Elephas maximus indicus: one gene and its partners. The protein of the gene in region 1 interacts with the protein of each later gene in a pairwise test. Links are inferred from orthologs where the notes say so. Each region holds a gene or a part of one and is shown on either strand. Other genes may lie near its edges.

Region 1 (7,353 bases):
TGGGCAGTCGGTCCTGCTCCTGGTCCAGATGGCCATCCCCATCATCGATCACCACAGGGTCTTCAGAGTGCTTGAGCTATAATCCCAGAGAGGGCTTTTCAGGTGGAGAGGTCCCAGGCCAGCGGTAGGACTAGCCCTGCTCTGCAAGCGGCTGGGCACGCTCCCTCCCTTCCCTGGGCCTGCCGACCATCGACCCCATAGCTGACCGCCAGAGGCTAAGCACAAACTGTGGACAGGGATGTAAAGGGAGACGACAAAGTTGGGCACCACATTAGGGCCTCTGGGGAAAGAAACTTGCTTTCTCGGGAAACTGACGTCTAGTCTGGACTTAACAGAGGTACGTCCTGGTTGTAGACAGGACTCCACAACCTCGGCTGGGGAACGGTTATCCCCATCAGCACACCTGTTCTCAGCCCCACTCTCTGTCCCATCTCCCAGCCCAGCCAGCTCCCTCTGCTCACCCACTGCCAGGGTCTGCCCGGTTCCTGCTCCATTGTCTCTACTGCGGCCACAGCCTGCTCGCCATTCTCGGGCTCCTGGGCCCGCACCCAGCTCTGGATCTCCCGGGGCAGGATGGCCAGGAACTGCTCCAGCACCAGCAGCTCCAGGATCTGCTCCTTGGTGTGCCTCTCAGGCCGCAGCCAGCCCCGGCAAAGGTCCCAGAGGCGGTGCAGGGCCTCTTGGGGACCTGCCGCCTCCTGGTAGCGGAAGCGACGGAACAGGCGGCGGGAGGACTCTGGACTGGGGAGCTCTCCTTGGGGGCTAGGTTTCTCTCCAGGTGGGCTCCTCATTTTCCTGGGCTCCTCACTTTCCTTCGGAGCCAAGACTCGGGGGCACAGGGCTGTGGGCATGATGGGATTTGATGGGGGTCAGCAGCAGAAGACGACCCTATTTCCAAACAGAAATCGCTGGCTTCAATGTTCTGGTCTCCTGCGTTAGTTTTAGGGGGTATTGATGGGAAAACTGACAAAGCCCACAGAGATCAGCCCTTTGGAGAAGCCCTGGGATTTCCCAGGTGAGGGGTGTCATTGTGACTGGTCCTTACACACAAGGACAGAAAGAACCCATCCCCATCCCCATCTCCCTCTCAGTACCACTGTGTGTGCATTCCCCAGCTAGATGATCGGGGTAACGAGGCAGTGAGTCCAGGAGAAAAGCGATGGCATTTCCATGTGACCCTGGCCTTCCAAGCATCCCAGAGGACCAAAGGGGCTGCATGCAGGAGGGAGATGTTAATTAAGGCTCTCTGGTACCTTCGGTGGCCAGGTCCTCTTGGAGAGGACCCAAGATGGATGCGTCTGAGCAGGCTGCTATCTTGAGGCTTTGGGGCAGAAGTCACCGTCCTTGGGCTGAAGACCTTTACAAACTGAGCTGGAAAAATACAGGCAGACATGCAAGGGAAGAGCCTTTAAAGCACATCAAGGTTCAGGAAATCCACCCTGCTGACAGCTGAGGGCCAGGCACCTGTGCTCAGAGCTGAGTGCACACAAGAGCCAGAACTGGCCGCCCCCAGTAGAGCCTGCAGGGGAAAAGAGGCAGACGAGAATATGCCCAGACAAGAGATCACAAGAGTCACAAGAGAGCTGCAGACTGCACTTACCAGAGAGAAATGCCACTATATCTTAAAGCATCATTGCTTTCGGACCAGCCTGCCACCCAACTCATTTGAGTGTCTGATAGGAAACTTTAGCATGTACTGAAAGGTGCTCTGACCTTCGACTTTACCTCCACCTCCTTCTCTCCCTTGTCCTCTTCAAACCTTGCTCAAGGCAACTGCACTGCCCTCACAGCCCTTCCTTAGGCCGATTAGGGGAGCAAGGTGCTTAGCAGCACAGCACATAACCCAGCTCTCAGCCCTCCATGAACTGTACCCACATCCACATGGCAGGGGATGGGACCCCTACATCTCCCCAAACAAGGTGACAAGAGAGGCTGTTATCTGTGACATATAGTCACTGACCCAGACTACAGGTGCAGGGTGCCAGAGGAACAAGCTATCGGGTTAAAAAAACGGTTCACAGAGCCCTGTGGACAGCCACGCACCGAAGACTGGGATCCCCCAGGGTGGCAGCACAAGGAAAGACACAAGAAAAGTCAAGGACACATGGAGACACACACAGTCCCTCTCTGCCAGCTTGGTCACTCACCCTCCATGCCCTCACCTCTAAGAGGACCCCAGTGAGCAGAGCAACTTAACATCCAGCCTCTCACACAGCCTTCCTTTCCCAGTCTCCTGGTAGGGGGTGTGACGGACCTCACCCTTTCACAGGAAGACAAGTGAAACCAGAAAAATGGCAAAGTCACTGAGAGGCAATCAGAAAAACCAAGTCTCTGGACCCTCTTGCTTTCCAACCTAAAAACAAGTACAAATTGGCAGAAGGGGACTTGGAGGGCCCCTGACTGAACACATTATCAGCTCAGCCCACCGCTGGATTCCCTCCAGAGTCTCTTCCAGAGTCCAATCTGGTCCCCACCTGGTTCTCCCCACCCTCCTGGCCAAAAGTGGCCCCTCTTCCCCACCCTCCCCTTGGCTCCTCAGGTCTGCCCCCACCCTGGGAGAACCCAGTGCCTACCCTCAGCACCCCAGGCCCCGCTGTGTGGCTGCCCATTCGGTGCTCTGTGGACCTTAGTGGCCCCTCTTCCCCACTCTCCCCTTGGCTCCTCAGGTCTGCCCCCACCCTGGGAGAACCCAGTGCCTACCCTCAGCACCCCAGGCCCCGCTGTGTGGCTGCCCATTCGGTGCTCTGTGGACCTTATCTCTAACCAGACAGCTTGTTCCTCTTTGTCACCCTGCACCTGGCGTGTAGGAGACGCAAAGAACTAAGGTTAGCGGGGGAGGGCTCCTGGATTGGGCGTGTTTAAGCCAGCTCTCGGAGGAGGGACAGACCGGCAACAGCAGAAAGGAAAGGGGAGGGCATTTTAGGCCAAGGAAAGGAGAGAGCTTTTCATTCCATTCTCCCTCACGCTCCCTTCTACACACACACACAGTCACTAACCACACGCTCCTCACCTCACAGCCTGGAACTCCTTCCCAGCGTCTAACTCAAATCCCTCCTGCTGCGGCGGAAGTCCCCGGCGGCACCTCCTCATCCTTCCAGCCCGGTCTCCCAGGTGTCCTTCTTCAGGCGGATTCTCTGCAGGGACCAGACTCCTTCCCTGGCCAGCCACAACGCCCTCTCCTGCTCATCCAGAAAGCCACGGCTTCGTTCGGGAGGAAAGGGGTGGGAGGAAATGGAGGCCCCTGAAAAACAAAATTCTACCGCTTTCTGCCCCCGCCCGCAGACCCCCGGACCCTGCGCTCGGGGCTGGGGGCGGCGCTGGCGCAGGCCTGGGCGCGCGGAAAAGAGGCGCGCGGGTGCGGGGACCGGGGGAGCCGGCTGGGACCCGCACGGCAGCACTCACCGCTGCGGCGCGTCCCCGTTCGCGGGCCGCGCAGGCCAGGCCGTCGCCGGAGCCCGCAGGACGCGGAGGAAAGGAAAGGCCAGAGCCCTCCGACTCCCTCCCCTGGGACACTTCCTGCTCCGCTCTAGGACCGGGGAGGTCTTCGCATCTCAGTGGTTGGCTCCCCCGCCCCCCGGCCGAGGTGTGCGCCGGGGGTGACATCCGACACCCCCGGCCCGGGCCCGCGGTCCGCGCGCCCCGCCCCGCCCCGCGCGCGCCTCTGGCCTCCGCGCCCAGGCGGGGGGCTTTGTCCGCCGGGCAGACCGGCGGCTCGGGGCCTACCCGCTCCCCGGAGCCCGGGTGTGCGAGCGCCGGTGGGGGGCGGGAGGCAGGGGGCGTTGAAGGCGCTGCCAGGGACGACGCATGCGAGCCGGTGGCGGAGTTCGGGTGGCCGGGGGCCGCGGTCAGAAGGAGGGCGCGCGCTGGTGCGGTTTGCTGCGGGAAGGTTCTGCTCCGGCTTCTCTCTCCCTTGTTTCCCTCCTTCTGGTTCTCCAGAGGAACGCGGGAGTGTCGACGTCCGGAAGGGCCGATCCGGGAGCAGCGGCTGGATGCGGAATTGGTGGGAGAGCGGAGGAAGAAGGCTTGTTCTCTCCCTCGGGGGACGCATTTCTGAATCCCTCTCTGCACTCCCCGGACGCCGCTCTGCCACCCCATTCTACCCCAAGTCCCGCAGGCCTAACCCCTTTGCCAGTTAAAACACCTCCTAAAAGCCTGGTCTGCCGCAGCCGAGGAGGGGAGCGGGAATGAAGGAACTCAGATCCCCTCCCCCACTCCCCGCATTCTTCCACCATGAAGACAGAGGCCCAAGGTCTCAACCTGTGTCTTCCTTGGGGTGAACACACTGCTGACATTTGACGTTTGATGGGGTTCACAGTTTACGGAAGGAGCAAGAGATGGTTCTTCTGAGCGTCAGAGAAACCTTGTGGAGTGGGCAGAGGAGCCCACAGTGGGTGGTCAGGGTGCCCATTCCTGGCTTAAGCAGTGAAGGTTACAGATGTTTAAACTGAGGAGGAGGGAGCAAGTCATTATGGGATTTTCCCCTGAAGTCTTGTGGCAGTGAGGGACCAGGAAGAATTAGGGCCTCTGGACCCCTGCTGTAGGCTGCCCTCAAGACTGCATCCAACTCATGGCAACTCCATGCACAATGGCATCCGACCTTTGTGATCCGTAGGGTTTTCACTGGCTGATTTTTGGAAGCAGGTCATGAGGCCTTTCTTCCTAGGCTGGAACCTCTGTGGAAAGCCGTTCAGCATCATAGAAGCACACAGCCACCAGTAACAGATGAGTGCAGTTGTTTGCTATCACCCTATGCTGAACATAGCCCAAAGGCTCAGAGGAGTCTTCCTGGGTTCATTCCTAATTTTCCAGATTCCAAAGCTTGGGAGAAAGTGTGTCCTAGGTCTCTGAGCAGATCTGATGCCCAGGAGACCACCCCCCTTTCTCTCCCACCACCTGCCCCACACTGAAGTTGAACTCATGGAAGAGAAAGCAGAGAAAAGTCTCCATCAGCCAGTGGGAGACTGGACTATGGGTAGTCCTGGTTTCCTTCAGAGCCTGTTTCAAGGGTGTGCAGGTCAAATTCAGTTCTCCACAAAGAGGTCACCCTGGCCAAGTGGGTGTGGAGAGGACACAGTTTGGATCGAGGAACCAGATAGCTCCCTTAGCGATGTTCCTCTCATTTCCTTGGTCTGGGTGCCGCCATTTTGGCCTCTAAATCACAGGAATAATCAATCCTGACAAGCAGAGTTACTGAGATCTCCTGTTTGTCTAATGCCCAGGTACTGATGATAGCAGATGTACTAAAACAAAGGAATGAAAGAACAACATTGAACCAAGGACAATCCAAAGGGCAGCCAGAGATAGGAACTACCCCTTCTGGCTTAATTGTACTCAGCTTTTAACCTTTCAGAAGCTTCAGTCAGGTTCATGGCCTAGAGGAGAGGTCTGGATAGGAACCATGGCCCCCCACACAGCTGACTTTGCTGCTTTAGGAAACAGGCCATCTTCTGGCACTCTGGAGGTCCTGACTATAGGATTTGTCCTGGCAGCCTTTGCTGTAGCTCCTAGCCCTGTTACCTGTCAGGAAATGAGTTCTGGAGTGTTTGGGGATCTGACTCTCATAGCTCTGCCCACTGCTGCCCTAAAACAGATAAAAAGCAGACCCAGAGATTGGGTTCACTTTCCACTTCCCAGACCAGACCTTCTGAACTGACACCTCTCTGGCAGTTATTTCTTCTTTTCCAACCCCCATGCCCCCACAGGTTAATCCTTTGTATTTAGAATACGCGCTTTGCTCTTTTCCTTCATTTATCTCAACACAATGTTTAAGAGTCTGGGTTCCGGAAATGGGTCACCAGAATTTAAATTGTGTCTTGCCACTTCCTACCCAGATGATCTCTGGCCTATTTAATCTTAGTGTGCCTCCATTTCCTCGTCCGGAAAATAGGGATGATGCTATCTATCTACCTTGCTGGATGGCTGTGAGGGCTCATTCAGTCATTCAACAAACATGCATAGAACACCTACTAAACACTTGTAGTGCTAGGTCCTGCTCTGGGTGCTTGGGATACATCTGCGAACACAACTGTCTAGCAGGGGAGGTGAAGGGGGCAATAAGCAAATTCAATAATATGGTCTATCATGCTTAATTCATGCTGGGAGTGCTGGAGAGGGGTTGGTGATATTCACAGTGTTAAAGAGTAGAGCAGGCTTCATTGGGAAAGTGCCATTTGAGGTGAGGGAGTTAATCAAGTTCATAGCTGAGACAGCAGTGTCCCAAATGGAAGCCACAGTGACAGCAAAGGCACCCAGGTGAGTGCAGTGGTGAGCGAAATGGGCAGGTGGGCAGTGAACGAGGTGAGAAGGACTTCATAGACCTCAGGGTAGGGGCACTGGAAGCCATGTGGAGGTCTTTCCCCTGCACTAAATGGGGTTAAATCAGATACCACGGGTAAAGCACCAAGACCTGCTCAGTGATTGTTGGTCATCATCACACTCGATGTGCATGTTTTTGTTTAGTTTATATCATGTTGCCGATTTTGTATATTTTTATGAAATGCTTACAGTGAATCAATGATTGTGTCATCCTTGGGAGGACAGAATAAAGGTCCTAGCTTCAAGAGCTGGAAAAGAAATCAGGACATGAACAAACAACTATGTAATAAAATGTCAGTGGGTGATAAGTGTCATGAAAAAAATTAAACAGGGTAAGGAGAGTGCCGGTGGTTGCGGGGCTGCTGTGAGGAGAGAACGTTTGAGCAGAGCTAAGTGGAGGGAAAGCTGTGTGATGTGTGAGGAAGAAGATTCAGCAGAGGGAGCAAAAGGTGTGAAGGCTGTGGACCAGGAGTGTTCAGCACAGCCCAAGAACAGCCAAGATGGCAGGAAGGCTGGGATGGGGTGACGAGGACAGTGGGCTGGGGGAAGACTAGATTTTATACCTAGAGAGTTTCGAGGAAGGGCATGGCCAGGGCTGACTTTCATTTTAAACTGAATGCTGTAGAGAACAGATTGGAGGGACCCCAGCAGAAATAGCTGCCCGTTATGTGCTGCTGTAGAAATTCAGGCAAGAGATGGTAGTGACTCGGAACTGGCCAGTCAAGGTGGAGCAGGTGAGGTGACTGGATTCAGGCTCTATGTTGAAGGCAGAGCAGAGAAGATTACCTGGTGGATTGCTATGGGGTGTTACCAAAACCAAACCAAACCGGTTGCGGTCGATTCTGACTTATAGCAACCCTATAGGACAGAGTAAAACTGCCCCATAGGGTTTCCAAGGAGCACCTGGTGGATTCAAACTGCTGACTTTTGGTTAGCAGCTGTAGCACTTAACCACTATGTTACCAGGGGTTTCCTGTGAGGTGCTAAAGGAATAAAAATGCTGTAGCTGTGGCCTCATTTGGGTGGGGGTGGGGGGGC
Region 2 (7,721 bases), on another chromosome or scaffold:
TTGTTTTCCAAAGGGGTTGTACCATTTTACATTCCCACCAGTAGTGCATAAGAACTCCAGTCTCCCTAAAACATCTGCAACATTTGTTGTTTTGTGTTTTTCAGATTAGTGTCAGCCTTGTTGGGGTGAGGTGGTATCTCATAGTTTTGATTTGAATTTCTGTAATGGCTAACGATTGTGAACATTTCTTCATGTGTCTGTTAGCCGCCTGAATGTCTTCTTTTGTGTCTGTTCATATCCTTTGCCCATTTTTTAATTGGATTATTTATTTTTTTGTTGTTGAGGTGTTACAGTATCTTGTAAATTTTAGAGATTAGACGCTTATCAGATATGTTCTAGTCCAAAATTTTTTCCCAATATGTAGGTCCTCTTTTTACTCTTTTGATGAAGTCTTTCAATGAGCATGAGTGTTTGACTTTTAGGAGCTCCCAGTTATCTAGTTTCTCTTCTGGTGTCTGTGCATTGTTAGTTATGGTTTGCATACTATTTATGCCATGTATTAGGGCTCCTTGCATTGTCCCTATTTTCTCTTCCATGATCTTTATTGTTTTAGATTTTATATTTAGGTCTTTGATTCATTTTGAATTAGTTTTTGTGTATGGTGTGAGGTATGGGCCTTTTTCATTTTTTACAGATGGATATCCAGTTGTACCAGCACCATTTGTTAAAGAGACTGTTTTTCCCTCAATTAATGGACTTTGGGACTTTGTCAAATATCAGCTGCTGCTAGGTGGATGGATTTACATCTGGGTTCTCAATTCTGTTCCATTGGTCTATGTGTCTGTTTTTGTACCAGTACCAGGCTCTTTTCACTACTGTGGCAGTATAATAGATTCTAAAATCAGAGAGTGTGAGGTCTCCCACTTTGTTCTTCTTCAGTAATGCTTTACTTATCCAGGGCCTCTTCCGTTTCCATGTAAAGTTAGTGATTTGTTTCTCCATCTAGTCAAAAAAAATGCCCTTGGGATTTGGATCGAGGTTGCGTTGTATCTGTAGATAGCTTTGGGCAGAATTGACATTTTCATAATGTTGCATCTTCCTATCCGTGAGCATGGTATGTTTTGCTACTTATATAGGTCTCTTTTGATTTCTTGCAATAGTGTTTTGTAGTTTCTTTTATGTCTCTGGTTATTTATTCCTAACTACTTTATCTTCTTGAAGCTATTGTAAATGGTACTGATTTGGTGATTTCCTTTTTGAAGTTGTCTTTGATTTTGGTATGTTTATCTTGTATCCTGATACTTTGCTGAAATCTTCTATTAGTTCCAGTAGTTTTCTTGTGGATTCTTTGGGGTTTTCTGTACATAAGATCATATCATCTGTGAATAGGGATGCTATTACTTCTTCCTTACCAGTTTGGATTCCCTTTATTTCTTTTTCTTGCCTTATTGCTCTGAGTACAACCTCCAGTACAATGTTGTGTAAGAGTGGTGATAAACGGCACCCTTGTCTGGTTCCCATTCTCAAAGGGATTTCTTTCAGTTTCTCTCCCTTTAGAATGATGTTGGCTGTTGGCTTTGTATAAATGCCCTTTATTATGTCAAGGAATTTGCCTTCTATTTTGCAGAAAGTTTTTGTCAGGAATGGGTGTTGGACTTTGTCAAAGGCCTTTTCTGCAATAATTATAAGATGATGTGGTTCTTATCTTTTGTTTTATTTACATGATGGATGGCATTGTTTTTCTAATACTGAACCATCCCTGCATACCTGATATGAATCCCACTGGGACATATTGAATTATTTTTTTGAAATGCTGATGAATTCTATTGCCTAGAATTTTGTTGAGGATTTGTGCATCTATGTTCATGAGGGATATTGGTCTGTAATTTTCTTTTTTTAGTGGTGTCTTTGCCTGGCTTTGATATCAGGGTTATGCTGCTTTCATAGAATGAGTTCGGGAGTATTCCTTCCTTTTCTATACTCTGACATACCTTTAGTGTTATTGGTGTTTTCTCTGGAAGTTTGGTAGAATTGTCCAGTGAAGCCATCCAGGCTTAGGTTTTTTTTTTTTGTTGTTGGAAATCTTTTTTATTACCTCTTCAGCCTCTTCTTTTATAATAGGTTTATTTAGTTTTTCTACCTCAGTTTGTTTTAGTTTATGCCAAGAATGGAAGACAGCTACTTGGCCAACCGACTGGAAGAGATCCACAATTATGCCTGTTCCCAAGAAAGGTAATCCAACCGAATGCGGAGACTGTGGAACAATATCGTTAATATCATACACAAGTAAAATTTTGCTGAAGATAATTCAAAAGCAGCTGCAGCAGTATATCGACAGGGGACTGTCAGAAATTCAAGCCAGATTCAGAAGATGACATGAAACCAGGGATATCCTTGCTGATGTCAGATAGATCCTGGCTGAAAGCAGAGAATACCAGAAAGATGTTTATCTGTGTTTTATTGACTATGCAAAGGCATTCGACTGTGTGGATCATAAAAAATTATGGATAACATTGCAAAGAATGAGACTTCCAGAACACTTAATTGTCCTCATGAGGAACCTGTACATAGATCAAGAGGCAGTTGATTAAATAGAACAAGGGGATACTGTGTGGTTTAAAATCAGGAAAGGTGTGCGTCAAGGTTGTATCTTTTCACCATACCTATTCAATCTGTATACTGAGCAAATAATCCAAAAAGCTGGACTATATGAAGAAAAACGGGGCATCAGGATTCGTGGAAAACTCATTAACAACCTGTAATATTTGGAATATGCAGATGACACAACCTTGCTTGTTGAAAGTGAGGAGGACTCGAAGCACTTACTGATGAAGATTAAAGAGCACAGCCTTCAGTATGGATTACATCTCAACATAAAGAAAACAAAAACCCTCACAACTGGACCAATAAGCAACATCATGATAAATGGAGAAAAGATTAAAGTTGTCAAGGATTTCATTTTACTTGGATCCACAATCAATACCAATGGAAGCAGCAGTTAAGAAATCAGAAGACACTTTGCATTGGGCAAATGTGCTGCAAAAGAATTCTTTAAAGTGTTGAAAAACAGAGATGTCACCTTGAAGACCAAGGTATGCCTGATCCAAGCCATGGTGTTTTCAGTCGCCTCATGTGCAAGCCAAAGCTGGACCATGAATGAGGAAGACTGAAAAAGAACTGATGCCTTCAATCTGTGGTGTTGGCGAAGAATACTGAATACTCCACCGGCTGCCAAAAGAAGGAACAAATCTGTCCTGGCAGAAATACAGTCAGAGTGCTCCTTAGCAGCAAAGATGGCGAGACTATGTCTCACATACTTTGGACATGTTATCAAGACAAATCAGTCCCTGGAGAAGGACATCATGCTTGGCAAAGTAGAGGGTCAGTGCAAAAGAGGAAGACCCTCGATGAGATGGTTTGACACAGTGGCTGCAACAATGGGCTCAAGCATAACAACAATTGTGAGAATGGGCAGGTCTGGGCAGTGTTTCTGATTTTGTGAACAGCCATGTTCATCTCCTTTGCTGATTTTTCTATTTCGCTTCTCCTTTTGCTTTTAAGGAACCCTGGTGGCATAGCAGTTAAGTGCTACCGCTCCTAACCAAGGGGCTGGCAGTTCAGATCCATCAGGTGTGCCTTGGAAACTCTGTGGTGCAGTTCTACTCTGTCCTATAGGGTCGCTATGAGTAGGAATCCACTCAACGGCAGTGGGTTTGGTTTGGTTTTTGGTTTGTTGGCGCAATGGTTAAGAGCTGGGCTGCTAACCAAAAGGTGGGCAGTTCAAATTCACCACTGCTCCTGGGAACCCTATGGGGCAGTTCTACTCTATAGGGTCACCGTGAGCAGAAATCAACAGACTCCGCAGCTCCGGTTTGGGTTTTTGGGATCCTTTAAACCTCAATGCCCTTAAAGTTGAAATAGGAGCACTGTGTGCCAAAATTTTATGTGCACATGTCCTTTGGGGGAGTGTTTTTTTATGTCCTTTGACCATCCAGTTCCAATGTGTGGAATGTGTCCTAGAAATATAAAAGAATATATTCAATTTTGTTCTCTCCAGCATTGTTTATAAAGAAAATAACATAAGTATACCTCAGTATACTTTTTTTTTTTTTTTTACCTCAGTAGGCACAGTTAAGTAAATTATGGTACAGCCATACAATAGAATACTATTTAGCTCATAAAGGATAAGTTGCTATGGAAAGATCTCTAAGCTATCTTAACTGAGAAATCTAAGGTGCAAAATTATACAGTGATCCCATATTTTAAAATGCACGGATATATACTTATTCACTAAACAAATATTTATGAGTACTATTTTTTTTTTTTTATAGGGTCTCTGTAAGTAGGAATCAGCTTGATAACGGGTTTGGTTTTCTTTGTTTACTTTGTGGTAGGTAGGGTCCTCGAAAGATATACACAGAAAATAGTTAACTCTGGTGAGTGGGACATTTATTTTTCATTATCTCCATGTTAGTTGAGTTTTTATTGTACATACACAACCCGTAAAATTTTTTTAAATTAATTTTTGCTGCTTGCTGTATTTTAATTGATTACTGATTCGTGTCCCACACTACTAGCCCGTGAGGACCCCAAACAGAGACTCGGTTTTGTCTTTACCACCTTGTTGGTTTAAAATAAAGAGCTTTTAACTGAAATGATTTACATAAACGAGGTGAGCTGCTTGTCCGACCCCCGGGGGCTGGGTTCTGGGGGCTGAGGGAGGCCTGGGCGAGGCGGGAAGTGCGTTGCGTCTCTCCCGGCCCCTTCCGCCCACCAGCGTCTGCCTCCCAGGTCCCGGCCGTCAGCTGCAAGCCTTGCTCTGTCAGGATTTCGAATCGTTCTCACTCTAGTGTGAAGGGGCCCCGGGGAACCTTCGGAGAGTCAGCGGGCGCCCGAAGGAGTGGGAGAGAGGGTGCGAGGCGGACCCTGACCGGGCCAGACTGCCCTGGTAGCCTCCTGCCCGCGCGCCAGGCGCACCAGAGAGACGAGCGGCTGCGCTCATAGAGCGGCGCGGGACCCGCTGGACGCCGCGACTCCGCCGCCCGCGCGGGGCTGGGCCTGCGAGGCGGGACGGCGGGCCGGGGCCCGGGGCGTCTCCGGGGGCACCCCGGCGGTGCGAGGAAAAGCCCTCGGCCCCCTGGCCCGCGGCTGCTGGAAGTGCTGGCGAGACCCGCCGGCTCTGCGAGGCGCCGCGGCCCTGGCTCCCAGAGGCCGGCCTGCACCTACAGGTGTGTGGGGACTCCGGACCCAGCGGCGCCGCGGGCAGCGCGGGAGCCTTTCGCGAGGCCGGGCATATCTTTGTTGTACACTTTCGCTGAACCTCTGGTCCGTTAACCAGCAATTAGACAAGCATTATTGAGTGTCCATGGTGTGCCAGACTCTGCGCTAGATCCTGGGGTGCAATCTCAGTGAGATACATTCCGGGCCGCCTAGAGTGTCTTGGCCGCTGGCATCTCGTATACGTCTGTGTGCGCTCACCAAGAAGTTCACCGATATTTGTTGAATACCAGGTACGTGTCGGGCATGTAGAGGCCATGCAGAGATAAACCCCGGTCCTCAAGTAAGCTTATTCCTCCTTGGCAGTCGGGAAAAGAGGGGGATGTCAGGAATACGAGAGGAAATGAGAGGTGCGTTAGGACTGGGCTTACTTTTCCATGGGAACATCCCATCTCCACCATTGTGGCTTAGAGGGCAGAATAGGTGGCTAGGAAAAGTTTTACGGAGGAGGTGGCATTTGCTCGGGGCCTTGGGAATTTACCCTGTCAGAAGAGCAGTCCTGGCCATAAACTACAAGGCAGGTGGAGAAAACTGAGTAGTCCCCACAGTAGTGGCATGAGGAGTTTGGGAAGACTTTGGTTTCCTTGAAGGTAGGGATTCTGTTTTTATTCCAGGGTTAGCCTTATGCATGGAAAACAGTGAGGTGTTCAGTAAATTTTTATGGAGTGACAAACAAACCAGCAAAACCCAGTAAAGATCACATCCTGGGATGCCTAAAATTGCGTTCTAGAGAGTTTGAATTTAGTTAGTTCAGTGAGGAGCAATTGAAACCTTTTTTTTTTCCCCCCTTGAGGCATTGTTGAATACAGTCAGAATTGGGATTTAGAAAATAGTAATCGAGTGCAGTTTTATTCTGACACCATAGGGTTGCCATGAGTCAGAATTAAACTCCCTGGCAACTGGTTTTGGAGTTTATGGGTGGCTCAGATGCTGGGCTGCTAGTAGAAAGGTTGAAGGGTTAAGGTTTGAGTCCACCCAGAGGCACCTGGAAGCAAGGCCTGGCGATCTGCTTCTGAAAAATGAGCTGTTGAAAACGTTGTTGAGCACAGTTCTGTTCTGACATACATGGGTTGCTATGGGTTGGAATTGACTGGATGGCAACTGGTTTGGTTTTCATTTAACAATTGATTGTGGGGTAAGTCAGTAATATCACACAAAAAATTATTGTAATAGTGAATGTAAATGATAATAATAAGAGAATAAAAAGGAGGAATGGCTACAAGAGGCATTTTGGGAGAAAGAATTGACTAGACTCAGAGTGATTGGGTATAGGAACCGGTTTCAAGCCTGAGAGCATGGAAGATGGTAGTGACATCAATAAAAATGGAGAAATACAAAGCAAGTGCAGCTTTGAAAGGACTCTAGTTTGGGGGTATGTTGAAATTGTGGGGCAGGAGAGGCCTATAGCTGGAGGTATCCCGCTGGCAGTTCGAGATGTGGGTCTGGAGTGTGAAAGACAAGTTGGAGCTAGACATAGATTTGAGTGTTCTTGAGATGGCAATGTACTGAAATTGTGATTGATGAGATCACAAAAAGAGAAAGTGAGGAGAAAGAACAAAATAACTTGAAGCATGTCTACTGTTCCAGTCATGTATTGTTGCATAAGAACATAAAAAATAAATAAAAACTTATTATTATTTCTCCTGATTCTGTGGGTTAATTGGGCAGTTCCACTGCTGTGGTCTCACCTAGAGTTACTTCTATGCCTGCATTCAGCTGGTGGCTCAGCTGGGGACTAGGTTCTCCTGGGTATTGACTGGGGCACCTTGGCTCTCATCCACATGACTACTCTGCATGACTAGCTTGGGCTTCCTCACAGTATGGCAGTCTCATGGCAGTGTGCCAAGAGTTATAAGGCCACTTCCTCTTATAATGTCATTTTTGTCACATTTTATTGGTGGAAATAAGTCATAATCCAGCACAGATTCAAGGGAAGGAGAAATAGACTCACCTTTTGATGTGAACAGTGGCAAAATCTCATTACAAAAGATATTTGGGGGTAGACGTTATAATTTCAGTCATCTTTGGAAATAGTCTACTGTACCTACATTTGAGGTGGAATATTCAGTGAGAGATACACAGAGATAGATGACTTTGAGAATATAGTATCTGTCATGCAGGTAGCCACCTGGCTCCTTCATGAGTAAAGTTATCTCCCTTTCCTAGCTAAAATGTAAACTGCTCAAGCACTCTTAAAAGTCTAATAAGCCCTTCTTCCCTCATATTTCACATCCTTTAGCTCTTGGCTGGACCCCCTCAGGGTTGAAGATGTACTTCTGATTAATTTCACTGATAAAGATAGGCAAACGGGCTCAGCTTTTGAACATGACCTACTGTGGGGACAAAAATATTACCATGTGGTGTAGCGTTTTGAAGCTCTTGTAATTTTCATGTTACTGACACATTCTCATGCCTCAGATAGACATTTAGAAAAACATTTCTGAACTGTAAACCACAGTCAAGTGATCCCTGTTCTAGCATCTAAGCTTAACATGTATGAAGCT
Region 3 (7,985 bases), on another chromosome or scaffold:
ATAAATTTCTGTTTGTTAAGGCCATCCACTTGTGGTATTTCTGTTATAGCAGCACTACAGACACTGGCCCCTGGCCCTGCCAGCCTGGAATGGAGGGCACTGGACCTTGACCTGGACCTGCTACCCCCTTCAGGCATGTTGTATTTCGAGTTCCCAGACTACTGCACCCCCAAAGTTGGCAAGATGATTGCAGAGAACTGGCACCCATATAGCATCACTGACCTGGTTTTCACCTACTAAGCCCACAATCAGCAGCATGTGCACACCCCCAAATTAGCTGTTTACATACAAGAATGCTATTTTCCCAAAAGAGAAAATCCTCTTCTGGTTCCTTTCAGTTAGCGAAAACAGGTACTAATGTAGGTCTTTTGTAAAAACGAAGTGGTATAAGGCAAACTTTTGGATGGGAGACGTACCTGTAATTAGATTTAAAATTTTACAGAATCCTGAATATTCAATTAACTCAAACAAACAACCCCTAACAGTAACTAATTCAACACATGCATCAACAATTACTTGTTCATCTAATTTCACCTTAAGGCATTCTGGAACAGCACACTCCATAAACTCCTCTAAAGTTTTTTGTTGCTTATTCGGAACGCTTCTGACACTTTCTTCAATCTTCTTTGTCTTCTTGCTTTGCACTGCATTGTACTCATCCGTATGGTGACGCTTCAGGTGTCTCTCTAAATTCGCTGCATGGTCTCCAACCATATCTGTGTTGCAAATTTTACACGTGCTTTTATTTTCAATCTTTTCATACTTGAAAAATTCTCGACATGGGTTTTCTCTGGTTCGTCCCATACTAGAATTCAAGGGCAAAAAATAATATTAACATTAGAGCATATTTTATAGTCACCATATTACATTTAAAAAGGTCTGGTGGCGCAGTCATTAAAGTGGTCAGCTTCTAAGTGTCTGGTTGGCAGCTCAAATCTACCAGCTGCTGTGTAGGAGAAAGATGTGGCAGTCTGCTTCCGTAAAGATGACAGCCTTGGAAACCCTATGGGGATAGTTCTACTGTCCTATAGACTCGCTATAAGTCTAAACCCATCTGACGGCAAGCAGTTTTGTTTTTATCACGTTACGTTAAAAATGAGTATTAAACTTTGATGACATAAAAAGAATGCATAAATACATTTGTAGAAATGAATCAGAGCCGGTACATATTACAACGGTTCTAGTCACGAGCTGTCAGTATATTAGAAAAAACGCAATAACTTTGTTTTTACATTCACAGGGTTTGCTAACTTCCTACATTTAAAGTCCCACTTTACAACATTCTCGTATGTTTATTCGGCACCTTTTGAAGAAAATCTCACTTAATAGTGACGCCATCAAGTTGTTTTCAGTGAAATAATCCTCTATCAGAACGGAAACGTTTTCTTTCCACTAGTTGCTTATGTTTGTTAACATTTAAATTTGCGAGATAAATACCCAGTTCAAACATATAAGTACAATGTGTGATAGTACATTTAAATCGACATTGGATACAAGAAAGGAACCATTAATAAATCACATGGCATTTTCTATTTCTTGAATTTAAATATCACACTTAAAAAATGTGAATAATGTACGTTTAAAATGTTTACACTCACCTGGCAAATTTCCGTTCACACAAAACTCTGTTCAGAACTCGATGCAATTTAACCAGCTCTTTCAGAATCCTAACGAGTTCTCAATCGTCGAGCGTTTCTCACATCTTCATCAGGTAGGCACAGCTCGCTTTACTGTGAGAAGTCAAGCATGGACCGGAAATTAAGCTCGGAGGAGGTTTGTTCAGCTCAGGCCCAACCTCCGGCCTGTCCGAGGGGCCCTTGACCTCTGCTGTCTGTCCCTTGCGGGCGCCCAAAAAGGGAAAGGAGGGAGGAGGTCTTCACGGAGGCGGGGGCCCAGGTACGGGTATACAGAATGGTGTTCATGGGAGGCAGGAACGGCCTGGACTACGTTCGATGGTGCGGACGCGCACGGCACGTCGGGACAGAAACTGACGCTCAAGGCCGAGCGTAGGGGACGGCCGGGTCCCGAAAGTAGGCCCCGCGCCGCTCCAGGGGGTGGGAAAGGCCACGCTCACCTTTACCGCGGCGCCGGTGCCCCGTAGGTAACTTCCGGGAAATGGCGCCGCGCCAGCTCCGCACGCCATTCTCCACGCGCTTGCGTAGAACGCACCGACTCGCCCCTCCCACGCGTTGCCCTGGCTAATCAGGGGCCTACCCCAAAGGCACCGTCCTCTCCCTTCGGACTACGTTTCCCTTGAGCCTCAGCAAAAAAGCGGAGTCCCAGTCTCGACCAGTGGGAGCTCATTTCCAGAGGCTTCTTATGCCTGAGAGGTGTCCCATTTACGATGGGGCCCGAAGGGTCACAAAGTGCTTGCGGCCCACCCCCTCAGCGGTCGCTTTTCGCTCAAACCCGAACCCCAGGACTTACAAACTGTCAAGTTGGACAGTACTTTGGCATATCGCGCATGTGCACAACGGGTCCGGTTCCTACTGGCAGGCGAGGTGACGGACGAGGAGGCTGACGTCCTGACCAGTCAGAACTGGCGCTTCGCCCGAGCCATTCCCCTAGAGCTCTCCGTGAGGCTTCTTCCTTGCAGCCCAGCGGTCCACTTAGTAACTGCTAGTGCTTTTTCTGCAGCCTCTAGTTGTTTCCACGGCAACGGCTAGAGTCGCCCCGGCCCCTAGAGAGGCCGGAAGTGGCGGTTCCGCCGCTACGTCTAGTTAGACTGAGACGAGCGTGTAAGTGGGCTTGGGAATGGCTAGGCTCGGGTCGTCAGTCCTGATCCGTAGACTTCCTCCGCCCTGACATTTGACCTCCACTGAGCACCCTGCGGACGTGCGGGGTAACAAGGACTCCGGTAGGCGCCAGTTTACTGAAGAGGAAACTGCTTCAACAGTTACATAAGGCCCTCACTGTGTGCCATGATTCTTCAGACCATTTTTAATAAAATTGATATTATAAGATTATAGTAAAAAATCAATATGGGCTTATTGTAGTGACTTTGGAAAACAGAAAAGTTCAAAAGTAATCTCACAACCCACTTTGCCACTCTTCAAACTCGGATGCTTTTCTGTGCTGTTTTTTACCCCTTAAACTAGTATATTCATATCTAATAAACATTTACGTACTAATTTCAGTATTTCCAGTAAACATGACATGATAGGCAGCACAAGCCTGTATATCTTTAGAAGGAAAGCTTAGAGACAAAAGCATTTGGAAAAGAAATTTACTTGCAAAGAGGGGCAACCTGCAGAATGCAGCAGGTATTTAAAGAAACCAAACAAAAATTGCACAATTACCAAAGTGACTGAGATTGCATTAGCCCATTGGTGGCAGGAAAGTAGCACACTTGTCCCATGATTATCATACCTTCAGCTATCCGAAGTAGAGTGCAGGCTTTTGCCTAGACTTAGGGGAGGTGCTCAACGTTTCATTTATTTTGGGGACCAGAACTAGAAGGGTGACCTGTTATTTTTGTCATTAGGTGCCTTTGAGTCAGTTCTGACTCTTAGTGACCCTGTGTACAACAGAACAAAACCCTAGCCAGTCCTGGACATCCTCATGTTCATTGTCATGCTTGAGTGCATTGTTGCAGCTGCTGTGTCAGTCCATCTCATTGAGGGTCTTCCTGTTATTTGCAGACCCTCTACCAAGCATGATCTCCCAGGGACTGTTTCCTCCTGATAACATGTCTGAAGTATGTGAGATGAAGTCTTGTCATCCTCCCTTCTTAGGAACATTTTGGCTGTACTTCTTCCAAGACAGATTTGTTTGTTCTTTTGGAAGTCCCTGGTATATTTAGTATTCCTCACCAACATCACAACTCAAAGGCGTCAATTCTTCTTCGGCCTTATTCATTTTCCAGCTTTCGCATGCATTATGAGGTGATTGAAAACACCATGGCTTGGGTCAGGCAAACCTTTAGTCCTTAAAGTGACATCTTTGCTTTCTAACTCTTTAAAGAGGTCTTTTGGAGCAGATTTACCCAGTGCAATATGTCAGTTGATTTCCTGACTGCTGCTTCCATGGGCATTGATTGTGGATCCAAGTAAAATGAAATTGTTGAAAACTTCAATTTTTTTCCCATTTATCATGATGTTTATTGGTCTAGTTGTGAGGATTTTTGTTTTATGTTGAGGTGTAATCCATACTTAAGGTTGTAGTCTTTGATCTTCAGCAGTAAGTGCTTCAAGTTCTCCTTGCTTTCCGCAAGCAAGGTTGTATCATCTGCGTATCACAGGTTAATGAGTCTTCCTCCAGTTCTGATGCCCCATTCTTCTTCATATAGTCAAACTTCTCATTTTATTTGCTTAGCATACAGACTGAATAAATATGGTGAAAGGATACAACCCTGATGCACACCTTTCCTGACTCTAAACCATGCAGTATTTTTAGTTCATCTCAATAGGCAATGTAACTGTTTAAGTCTGACTGTGGGACAGGGTCAGTTTTGCTTCTCCACATCAAGTGCTGAACTGTGACTTATTTAGCCAACCCTAAATTGTTTCCATTTTGGTGTCCTCTGATAATCCCATGATGAATTCCACTGATTGGAAGCTCTGTGCCTGTGTGTGGGTGGGACTTGTCAACCTTGAGCTTCTCTGTAGCATTATCAGCATACGCCCTTTGGAAGGGAAAGTACCCCAGTGGGAGTATCCTTACGTTTTTTCTCTGAGACTGTGTAGAATCCCCAGAGATGAATCTTCCACTGCACACCACGTAGGGAAAGATCAAGTGTTCTAATTATTGTTTATTTGCTTCTCATGTCTCTCCCAGTCTTCTTTGTCGTAGGTCCCCTGGCTTCTCATTCCATAAGTGCTGGACTTTGGTTCTCAAGCCGCTGGAATTCTGCAGTATAAGCCTGCTTAGACAACCCTCCATTTCCTCCAGTGCCAATGCTGTATTTGGCTTTCTCTAAATTAGTGACAATATCCCCATCTGCTTCTGACTTCAAAATGGTGTTACTATTAGCCCCTTTTCCACCATCCGCACACTTGTGGGTTTATGTTTTAAGCCTTTTCTTTTCTGGTTTTAGTGTTGTTTCTGAGCCAAGACAGACGAAATGTGTCCAGTCTGCTATCTTGACCCAGAAAGCCCAGGGATGATTTCCAGTCTCCTCCTCCCTTCACCCTTGCCCTCATCCTAGCCCCAACATGCCCTTTCCAGCTCTGACAGCAAATTCCCGGTTGCCCTGTCCTTCTGGTGACTTCTGTGCAGTGTTGGGGTTGGAGCAGGTGTGATGCACTCTGGCTAAGCAGCAAATCCTGTCTCCACGTGCACACGAAAGCTTTCCTGCGTCCCTGGCTCGCAGGCACAGGGCTCCTCCCCTGTGTGGATCTGTAGTCCTTTGCCTGGGGTTCCCTTCCCTGCGTTCATGTTAGGTCGGAGTTGCGATCTCAGGCCTCCATGGGCTTTGGGCCTGCGGCTGGGCCTGAGGGGGCAGTGTGATCGGTTTCCTTCCCTTGCGCACCCTCCGATAATATGGATAGTGGCTTGGGTTGAGGGGGCCGTCCAGTGCTTGCCCTGGGCCGCCGCCCAGCTTTCTCGCCGGTGTGGATCCTCTGGTGGTGGAAGAGGGCCGGGCGCTCGCGGAAGGCGCGGCCGCACTGCGAGCACACGAAAGGCTTCTCGCCAGTGTGGATGCGGCGGTGGCTGATGAGCACGGCGCCCTTAGAGAAGGCCTTGCCGCAGTCCCCACAGCGGAAGGGCCGCTCGCCGGTGTGCAGCAGCTGGTGCTGCGTGAGGTTGGAGCTGTGGCTGAAGGCTCGTCCGCACTGAGCACAGGAGAAGGGCTTCTCGCCCGTGTGCACACGCTGGTGCTTGAAGAGTGAGGAGCCCTGACTGAAGGCAGCGCCGCAGAGCGCACAGGCGTATGGCTTCTCACCCGTGTGCGTGCGCTCGTGCTGGATCAGGTGTGAGTTCCGGCAGAAGCGGCGGCCGCACTGCGCGCAGGCGTAGGGCCGGCCGCCCGCGTGAATCTTACGGTGCTGGCTGAGGTTGGAGCCGTGGCTGAAGGCCTTCCCGCATTCGCCACAGCGGAAAGCCTTCTCGGCTGTGTGGATTCGCTGGTGGCGTACCAGCGATGAGCTGTGCCGAAAGGCCTTGCCGCAGGCCGGGCACGCGTAGGGCGTCTCGCCACTGTGGATGCGCTGGTGCTGCGTCAGGTGCGACGTCTGGCTGAAGGCTTTGCCGCACTGGGCGCATTCGTATGGCCGCTCCCCCGTGTGGGTGCGCAGGTGCTTGAGCAAGTCAGAGCTCTTGACGAACACCTTGTTGCAGGCCCTGCATTCGAAGGGCTTATCTCCAGGGAGGAGGCAAGCGCCAGTGTGGAGGGCCTCCCTCAGCTCGTCCCTAGCAGGGGCCACCTGGCCAGTGGGAAGTGCCTGAGGGTTGCTGGTCAGAATTGCCATTTCTTCCTCCCTGAATGTGGGAAGATCCCCCCTAGCGTGAACTGGGACACAAGGGAGGGCACTTCCAGGAGCCTCCCTCATATGTGACTTCTGCTGCTCCTGCACCCTCAGCTGCTTTCCCGGCACTGGGCAGTCTGTGAGGGCCCTTCCCCTGGGCAGGCTGCCCTCTGCAGCCCTCAGGGGTGCAGTCAGCCTCAAGCTGATGCTCTCCTCCCCGCTGCCGGAGCCCGACAGGAGCCTCTCCCAATAGATCATGGACACCCCAGTGGATTTTCTCTCCCCAGATGGAAAGGCACCCTGCTGTCCCTCCAGGATTTTCCCCAGGTCACAGGCACCAGGAGAGGGAAGGACTCTGGGAGGCGTTGTCAGAGGGGGGCTACCCAGGAAGGCCCCAAGCAATGCTGCTTTTCCGTAAACATCCCCATCATCTGCTGGACACCGCGGACCTGAAAGCAGAGAAATGGTGGTTATCTGGGTCATCCCAGCCAGGAGGCGGAGGCCAGGGCAGGTAGAACACACAGGGCAAAGTGGGCACCCTGGGAGGTAGGTGTGTTAACAGGCAGAAAAGCACGGGCCCAGGCCTGACCAGGCTGAGAAAAGCATCTGCTGTGACAAGCATGCCACCCATGGCATCTGGGACCCCCATAGTTAAGACACTAGCCCTGAAGCCCAGAATGCAGGGGCAGGGGCAGAGTTGGCCCTGGCCCCAACCGAGAAGGACACTAGCCATTGAGCAGCTGCTGCAGGCCAGGTCCGGTCACCACTGGAGATGGGTGGTGCACTACCTCATGGTACCCAGACTTTGTGTTTGCTGTTCCCAAAGACAGTGCTACAAGTGTCCTGGTCAAGGCCGTGTCCTCTGTGCCTGGAACATGTGTGGCCACAACAAGTATTCAAGAAATACTGATGAACAAATACATGAGGGAATGAAGCAATGACCCACAGATACAGCAACAAGACTGGGAAGGTTTGAGGCTGTATAGCCCTCTTGGGCTCTTAACAAGCCTCCCCATGGCCTGGGAGTGACCTGTGTCTGAACCCAGCTTTGGTACCCTCAGCTTGACCTTCAAGAGCAGCCAAGGTGGGAGCTCCCAAGAGAGGATAGTGGAGGGAGAGGAAGAGGAAGCTGGGCGGGAAGGCGGAAGAGGAGAGTGTTAGGAAGGGCCTGAAAAGGGAGATGGAGGCTCAGCCAAGTCAAGTGCCAAGCTCACCCACACCCTGAGCCCCCACTCACCAGGGCTAGGCCTCCCCTGGACTTCCCTTGCTGTGACTGGGGCCGTGTCCGTCCCATCGGGAACCCAGGGCTCCTTGCCACGCTCAAGCTGGACAACCACTCGGGGTCGGGAAGCTCCAAGCCCTGTGGGGGAGGACAAGGCGGGAGAGGGGCTGGCCCCTGCTCAGGACAATTCACCTCTCAACAGATAGCAGGAAACTCGTGTCATCTGTGTAACCAGGAAACCCAAGGGTCATATCATGTCTTGCCATGCACCATGGGGTGGGGTTCACAGTAACAGCCTAGCTGTCCCCCTAGACATCAACTGTGTTGATGGTGTCAGAAGAAGGGTGCAGAGTGCA

What was found.
Region 2: the proteins of ZNF496 (region 1) and PGBD1 interact in binary tests that used the Homo sapiens proteins (3 or more experiments, as listed by UniProt). The two-hybrid records come from large-scale screens. The link is inferred for Elephas maximus indicus from reciprocal best matches to the Homo sapiens genes ZNF496 and PGBD1.
Region 3: the proteins of ZNF496 (region 1) and ZNF446 interact in binary tests that used the Homo sapiens proteins (3 or more experiments, as listed by UniProt). The two-hybrid records come from large-scale screens. The link is inferred for Elephas maximus indicus from reciprocal best matches to the Homo sapiens genes ZNF496 and ZNF446.

What each region holds. Positions count from the first base shown.
Region 1 is NC_064820.1:233,708,234-233,715,586, forward strand, and holds the start of ZNF496 (zinc finger protein 496), read right to left. Parts: upstream 3,100-7,353; 5' UTR 3,011-3,099; intron 1,372-3,010; 5' UTR 1,254-1,371; intron 889-1,253; 5' UTR 852-888; coding exon 462-851; intron 77-461; coding exon 1-76. UniProt on the Homo sapiens protein: DNA-binding transcription factor that can both act as an activator and a repressor.
Region 2 is NC_064819.1:79,716,877-79,724,597, forward strand, and holds the start of PGBD1 (piggyBac transposable element-derived protein 1), read left to right. Parts: upstream 1-4,716; 5' UTR 4,717-7,709; coding exon 7,710-7,721.
Region 3 is NC_064829.1:87,338,891-87,346,875, forward strand, and holds the start of ZNF446 (zinc finger protein 446), read right to left. Parts: upstream 3,010-7,985; 5' UTR 2,075-3,009; exon of another isoform or gene 1,731-2,074; 5' UTR 1,599-1,730; intron 806-1,598; 5' UTR 805-805; coding exon 535-804; intron 1-534. Other genes in the region: ZNF324 (zinc finger protein 324A), read right to left, coding at 5,397-6,856, 7,645-7,767. UniProt on the Homo sapiens protein: May be involved in transcriptional regulation.